2 linked regions of the Macaca fascicularis genome follow. Each later gene encodes a partner of the first gene's protein in a complex. Links are inferred from orthologs where the notes say so. Each region holds a gene or a part of one and is shown in the gene's direction. Other genes may lie near its edges.

What was found. Proteins that work in one complex are often made in the same cells at the same time.
Region 2: STX7 (region 1) and VTI1B share a complex: the UniProt entries of both Homo sapiens proteins name them as parts of the SNARE complex. The link is inferred for Macaca fascicularis from reciprocal best matches to the Homo sapiens genes STX7 and VTI1B.

The regions. Positions count from the first base shown.
Region 1 is NC_088378.1:36,426,506-36,430,154, reverse strand, and holds part of STX7 (syntaxin-7), read left to right. Parts: intron 1-432; coding exon 433-526; intron 527-1,205; coding exon 1,206-1,343; intron 1,344-2,189; coding exon 2,190-2,242; intron 2,243-2,749; coding exon 2,750-2,846; intron 2,847-3,649. UniProt on the Homo sapiens protein: May be involved in protein trafficking from the plasma membrane to the early endosome (EE) as well as in homotypic fusion of endocytic organelles. Mediates the endocytic trafficking from early endosomes to late endosomes and lysosomes.
Region 2 is NC_088381.1:135,577,371-135,581,119, reverse strand, and holds the start of VTI1B (vesicle transport through interaction with t-SNAREs homolog 1B), read left to right. Parts: upstream 1-1,429; 5' UTR 1,430-1,583; coding exon 1,584-1,698; intron 1,699-3,749. UniProt on the Homo sapiens protein: V-SNARE that mediates vesicle transport pathways through interactions with t-SNAREs on the target membrane. These interactions are proposed to mediate aspects of the specificity of vesicle trafficking and to promote fusion of the lipid bilayers.

The DNA.
Region 1 (3,649 bases):
CCAGTTATAACTAGATCTGGGAACTGGGCAAAGTCTAAGGCAACAAATGTTTTCTTGCTCACCTGACCTTCCAGGTGTGAGATGCAGATTAAGGGCTGCCACATCCCCAGTATCTCAAACAAAGGATCAGACATCCAACAGTCTCTCCTTCAAGTTCCCTCTGATTTGAGTCATCTGTGTTTCTAAATGGTCATTGATACTGGTTTCTCTAAGCTCACCTACCCTGTGTCAGTGAAGAACCTGACATGTAATATTTGCTCAATATTTATCAAAGAATAGGATATGAAATTTTTTTGATAGAGAAAGTTGAGAGCCAGTTTATGAAAAGGCAATTTTTGTACAACTCTTTGTCAGTGTTGATTCAAATGACAGAGTTGTAGCTTAAAGAAGTGTATTAGTCCTTTGGTTGTAATGCGTGCTTTCTCACTTTAGGCAACAGAAGCAGCAGTATACTAACCAGCTTGCCAAAGAAACAGATAAGTACATTAAAGAGTTTGGATCTCTGCCCACCACCCCCAGTGAACAGGTATCAAGCTTTAAGACACATTGTTGATGCATTGAATGTGAAAAAAACCAAATACGTTGTAGGATCTTTGAACTGTTACGCTAGAAAGGAAATTATGCTAGAAAGGAAATCAAAAATAATTCTGTTTGAGATTAGTTCATAGAACACAAAACTATATTTAATTGCTCAGGTAGTATCCTGTGGTTCAATAAAGCAAAAATTATTTCCATGCATTTGCCCTGACCCATAATTAAGTAAGTTCTCAGAAAATGCTTCCTGAGTAATTATTTCCTGGCCTTCCGGGGCTGAGTGCGTGGAACATGCAGGCTCATTCAAGATGTGAGGTGTCCTGGGGGCATATATTTATTTCCCTGCTTATTTAATGGAAGTTATTACTTAGCTAAAAGTATAAGGCTTTATTTGCCTGAAAAGGAATTACTTTAAAATAGCCTCAAAATAATGAGCTAGTTTTTAGCAGCATGAAAACTTGAGGTGAGAAATCCAGCATAATGGGTCTTTTGCCTCCAGTTAAATATGCTCGGTATTTGACATACTGTCAGAATGTTGTTGAGAGTTAATCCGTAAGGCCCTGTAATTGGGGAGCAAGTGAAAACTTCAGGATTAAATAAAGAACCAAGTACTGCAAACTGTTTTACTTCACAGCTAGATTCTAGTTGGCTTTTTCTTCTCTTTCCTCTAGCGTCAAAGGAAAATACAGAAGGATCGCTTAGTGGCAGAGTTCACAGCATCACTGACAAACTTCCAGAAGGTTCAGAGGCAAGCGGCTGAGCGAGAGAAAGAGTTTGTTGCTCGAGTAAGAGCCAGTTCCAGAGTGTCTGTGAGTATTTTAAAAGACATTCTAGAAACGACCCTTACTTCCTAAGGGTCCTATCAAAGTCTATAGTAGCATAATTTTTTAAGTCATAAAGATCTGTGACTAACTTGGAAATCAGCACTTGAATATTCATTTTTATGCTTTTCTGCTCCATTTTTGGAGAAGATGATAATTATGTATTACTGTGGTTTTTTTTCTGTGTCATTGTACAGAAGATTACAGACTATATAAAAATATAGAGACGTATTTTGTCAAAAAAGATGAGGGATCAAACCCTGAGTAGTATTCTCACATCGTCTTGGTACGGAGGCTTTCTGCTTGTGGACACACTAGTATAGAAAGCACTTTCCTCCTGGATTACACCAAGATGACGGAGATGAATGGCGCAACTATGTTGTCTGAATATTGAAAATGAACATGAGCCTGGAGAAAATAAATGAAAGGAAGCTTTACAATAGAATTTTGAATTAATTTAATTTTAAATTCCCTTACAAACTATCACGAGTTTTCTTATTCATTAACATATGAATTCCAAGACTACATTAAGCTTTAACTAAATAATACTTATTTGACCCTTGAGAATGTTTAGTGTTTGTCTACTTAGAATATAAAATTACTTATAATTATGTTATTACTTGAAGCAGTTGACCTGAAAAATTAGAACAAGAACTTCTTTCTCTCTCTCTCTACACACACCACACACACACACACACACACACACACACACACACACACACAGAGACATGTACATAAATCGTTTAGATTATTAGGGAAAATATGAGTGTTTATTTTTTCTCATTTTTGCTTTCTTTGCCACTTCTCATTCCATCCTGTTACTAAATCATTCAGGGCGGTTTTCCTGAGGACAGCTCAAAAGAAAGGAATCTTGTATCCTGGGAAAGGTAAGAAATACAAAACATTTTTCAGATCAAAAGGTAATTTTTCAAAGTTTATACATTAAGGCCCCTGGAACAGAATTAAAGCTTTCAATATAAGTTGTTTATATGTTGAAAACAGAGTAAATTTGAAAAAAAATTTAATTATAAAGTATTTATCATAAAATATATAAAATTTTCCAAATAAATGTTTATGGACTTAATTAATAATATAGACTTTCCCTTATATGAGGTTTAAATCAACTAAGAAGAAATACCCAGTTGACAAATATAGCTTCCAATAATTAAGTAATAACTCTAAACTCACGTTAGATAAAATGATATAAGTGAAATGAAAAATGAATAAAATTTTATTCATATATCTGTTATAGTCTTAGAATTTTTTAAGTGAGTAGTTCTGCGACTTTGAAGAGTAAAACGTCCTATTTAATGAATATATCTTAAATAGGAAATGAATCTCATTGTTTTGAATACCAATCTTTGTTTTTTTCCACATTCATTTTTTTCTGTTAGCCAAACTCAACCTCAAGTGCAGGTGCAGGATGAAGAAATTACAGAGGATGACCTCCGCCTTATTCATGAGAGAGAATCTTCTATCAGGCAACTTGAAGTAAGGCTTACATTGTAGACTTGGGCTGCTACCCTGTTCTTAGTGAGTTTGTTCTCAAAATGCTTAGGTAATGCTGGCAGAGCGTACGAGAAAGAAATTTTATTTTTTTCTTTTTGAGACAGTCTCCCTCTGTCGCCCAGACTGGAGTGCAATGGCATGATCTCGGCTCATTGCAATCTCCATCTCCCAGATTCAAGCGATTCTCATGCCTCAGCTTCCTGAGTAGCTGGGATTACAGGCATGTGCCACCCCAACCGGCCAATTTTTTGTACTTTTAGCAGAGACAGGGTTTCACCATGTTGTCCAGGCTGGTCTCAAACTCCTGGTCTCAAGTAATCTGCCTGCCTTGGCCTCCTAAAGTACTAGGATTATAGGTGTGAGCCACCATGTCTGGCCCAGAGAAAGAAAATTAATGTATCAGTTTGGTAGCATTTGTAATGTATAAATTAGAATAATTCCTTTTTGAAAAAAATAATATTGTCCTTACTGTTTGTGCTAGGATGAGGGAACATACTCCCTCCTACTGCAGCTTTTAAAAAATTATGATTCTATTAAGCCATCTATGGACTACCTTAGTATTGAGAAAATACCAGTGTAGAGATAAATGTCTGTCCGAGAGTCTGGATGTCTTCCCAGGATACATGATACACATCATACGTGCATGAGTAAGACCTTTTATAAAGCCTTCAAAGAATTTTATTTCTCTTCACTATGTTTAGACATCAAAGAGATCTAAAAGATTTATTAAGTCATAGCTCTTATGGAGCCTATTTAGTTCCTAGAAAGAAGGCTAATAATAGCTA
Region 2 (3,749 bases), on another chromosome or scaffold:
ATCTTGCTTTGTCACCCAGGCTGGAGTGCAGTGGCATGATCTCAGCTCACTGCAACCACTACCTCCCGGGTTCAGGTGATTCTCCTGCCTTAGCCTCCCGAGTAGCTGGGATTTACAGGCGCCCACCACCACGCTCGGCTAATTTTTGTGATTTTAGCAGAGATGGGGGTTTCACCGTGTTGGCTAGGCTGGTCTCGAACTCCTGACTTAAAGTAATCCGCCCGCGTCGGCCTCCCAAAGTGCTGGGATAATGCTTGAGCCACCATGCCCAACCTGAAGACCGGCATTTATACCCATGGAGTGCAGGAAAGGACCTTGTAATTGTTAACAAGTGACACTTAGTGGCAGATGAGACCTAATGAAGCCAGGCCCACCTTCCACACCAGATTATAAATTCCCCCGGAGCAGAGAGTAAATGTTTTATTCACCAACATGCCCAGATCCCTCGCAATGCCTACGCTTGACAAACACCTGTTGTGAACAAGTGCACGAGGCAGCCTAGCAGCTAGAGTATTTCGAGGTCATCCTAACTGGGTTCCACTTTTGAATTTTTGTTTTTTGGGTTCGTTTGGAGACAAGGTCACCCTCCACTTGGGAGCAAAGTCTCCCAAGCTGGAGTGCAGTGGTGGGAACTCTGCAATCTCAACCTTGTGGACTCAAGTAATCCTCCTGCTTCAGCCTCCGGGGTAGCTGGGGCCAAAAGTGCGCGCCACCTTGCCCGGCTCCTATTTTGGGTTTCCGGTAGTGCTCTCGCTATTGTGACCAGGCTGGTCTCGAACTACTGGGTTCAAGCAATCCTCCCACCTCGGCCTCCCAAAGTACTGGGATTACAGACGTGAGCCACTCGCCCGGCCGAGTTCCACTTCTGAAAGCTTGGGGAGCCGCTGGGCCTTCCAGGAAAAGTGCTCCACCTCCCGACTGCAGGCAGAGCCCCCGGCCCGGCTCTTTCCAGGGCCTAAAGCTAACATTCGGTCAAAACGCGAAATGCGGAATTCGGGTCAGGGTGGCAAAGCAAAGCGCGATGACAGTGAGGACGACGTCTAGACGCAAACACACATCAAATCGGGCCGAAGCCCGCTGTCGCCTCGCGGGCTAAACCTGGCACCCCGGGCAACGCGCGACTCCGGCACCAGACGCTCTCCGAGTCAAACTACATCCCCCGGCGTGCACTGCAGCGCCCGCCCCTGGCCGGCCGGCGGGGCCCAGGAGGAAGGCGGCCGAGCTGCCCGTCCCGCAGGTCCCCTAGGGCCCTTTCTCTGCGGCCTTTCCCCACCCCGGACCGGGCACTTCTCGGGCTCTGCGACTACCATTCGCCCCGCTCGCTCCCTCAGGAGTCGCCTAGGCCGCGCAGTCTGCTGCCTTCCCGTCAGGCCTTCGCGCCGGCGCTCCCGCAATCACGGGCTAGAGAGGGTGGGCGTTCCGGCTCGGGAGGACCCTTCTGCGGCCCCGGAAGAGCCTCGTCCTGGGCAGCGGTGGTGCGGCGGTCGCCGTTATGGCCACGGGACTGGGCGGCTGACCGCCGGGCTAGGAGAGGGCCCAGAGCCCCGAATCTGGGTGGCCGCTGCTCGAGCGCGTCCTGCGCCATGGCCGCCTCCGCCGCCTCCTCGGAGCATTTCGAGAAGCTGCACGAGATCTTCCGCGGCCTCCATGAAGACCTACAAGGGGTGCCCGAGCGGCTGCTGGGGACTGCTGGGACCGGTGAGGCGCGGGTGGGCCACGCCGTGGGGAGCGCGGCCCCGCGCGCTTTGGAATTTTCCCCCACCTTCCTCCCAGACCCGGGCCCGCGTCTCCTTCCTCCGCGTCCTCAGACACGCCCCCTAGGGCTGGCTGGGTCGCAACCCCGGGTCTCCCTGCCACTGAGAGTGAATTGGGGACGCGCCCAGGGACGCGGGGTTCAGTTCCCTGGGTTCCTTCTATGGCCTTCCACATTTTCTCGTTTTTTTCCACTGCGGCAAACAGAGCAGAGGGGCTTTTACATCTGCGGTCCTGTAATGTAGCGTGGGTTTCTTTCGTAGCTGTTTTTGTTTGTTTTATGCATTTAGAAGCACTAGTCTCAAGACAGGTCTAGTTTTCACCAGACTGACAGAGGATCTGTAGCACAGAAAAAGGGTTAAAAACCCAAAAGAGTCATAATTTGGGGCGTTGGTATATACCTGTTATTGGAGGGTAGAGAGCTGGCCTTTAAAACCTTATGGTGGCGTTTAGATGTGGTCTTGTTTTGAACGTTTTTACTGCTGCGACTATTTACTACCCCTTCATTTCATGGTTCAGGTTGCTACAAGTTTTGTCTGGAGGAGCTAGAGTTTTCCGGCCCTAGATCCATAGGAAGACCTGCTATATATAGTTCTTGGCCTCCGGATATGTAGAACTTGATGGCAAGGACAAAACTTTGTTTTATTGCTTTTATTTAAGGATCAGAGCTTGAGTGTTTGCTCAACGAATTACTCAAGGTCATAGGAATTGAATGACTCTGGTGAGAATGAAATGCATGTATTTAATATATATTTATTGTGAGGCTGCTGTGTGCCAGGCACTGTTCTAGGTGCTGGTGAATATTGCAAATTACAGTGAAAAAGACATGCACGTCCCCATTCTAGTGGGTAGGTGATAAACAATATATAACTATTAAGCGGCAGTGTTAAAGAATACAGGAAAATAAGAGTAAAGGAATAGGGGATGGGACTTCAGTTTTATTTTATTATTATTATTATTATTTTTGAGACAGAGTCTTACTCTGTCATCCAGTCTGGAGTGCAGTGGTACGATCTCGGCTCACTGCAGCCTCCACTTCCCAGATTGAAGCAATTCTCCTGCCTCAGCCTCTGGAGTAACTGGGATTACAGTTGCGCCACCACCCCTGGCTAATTTTTTTTGTATTTTTAGTAGAGACGGGGTTTCACCATGTTGGCCAGGTTGGTCTCTAACTCCTGACCTCAAGCGATCCGCTTTCCTCGGGACTTCAGTTTTAAATAGGGCGGTTGTGAAAGTCCTCTGTGAGGAGATGGCATTTGAACTGAGACTTGAATGAAGAGAGGGAGTAAACCAGAAATCTGGGAGAAGTGAGTGTCAGAAGGAGGGAATAGCACTGCAAATGCCCTTAAGCGGAAATGAGCTTGGTGTGTTCAACGAAGAGCAGGAAGTTCCATGTGTTTGGGATGAAGTGAGCAAAGGAGAGAGGTAGGCAGGGCCAGATCATGTAGGGCCTTGTGGACCATGGTGAAAGACTTGTGCCTTTTTCTAAATATGATGGGATGCAGTTAAAATATATTGTGCAGAACCATTGTGGGATCTGATTTATGTGATTGAAAAGTTGACTGCAGGCAGGGCACGGTGACTCACACCTGTAATTCCAGTGCTTGGGGAAGCAGAGGCGGGCAGATCACTTGAGGTCAGGAGTTCAAGACCAGCCTGGCCAACATAGTGAAACCCTATCTCTACTAAAAATACAAAAATTAGCCAGGCATGGTGTCAGTTGCCTGTAGTCCCAGCTACTCAGGAAGCTGAGGCAGGAGAATTGCTTGAACCCAGGAGGCAGAGGTTGCAGTGAGCCGAGATCCTGCCGCTGCACTCTAGTCTGGGCAACAGAGCAAGACTCTGTCTCAGAAAAAAAAAAAAAAGGAAAAGACTGCAGGCTAGGCGTGGTGGCTCACACCTGTAATCCCAGCACTTGGGGAAGCTGAGTTAGGATTATTGCTGTATTGAATGATTTTGAGACCAGCCTGGGCAACGTGGTGAAACGCCATCTCTAC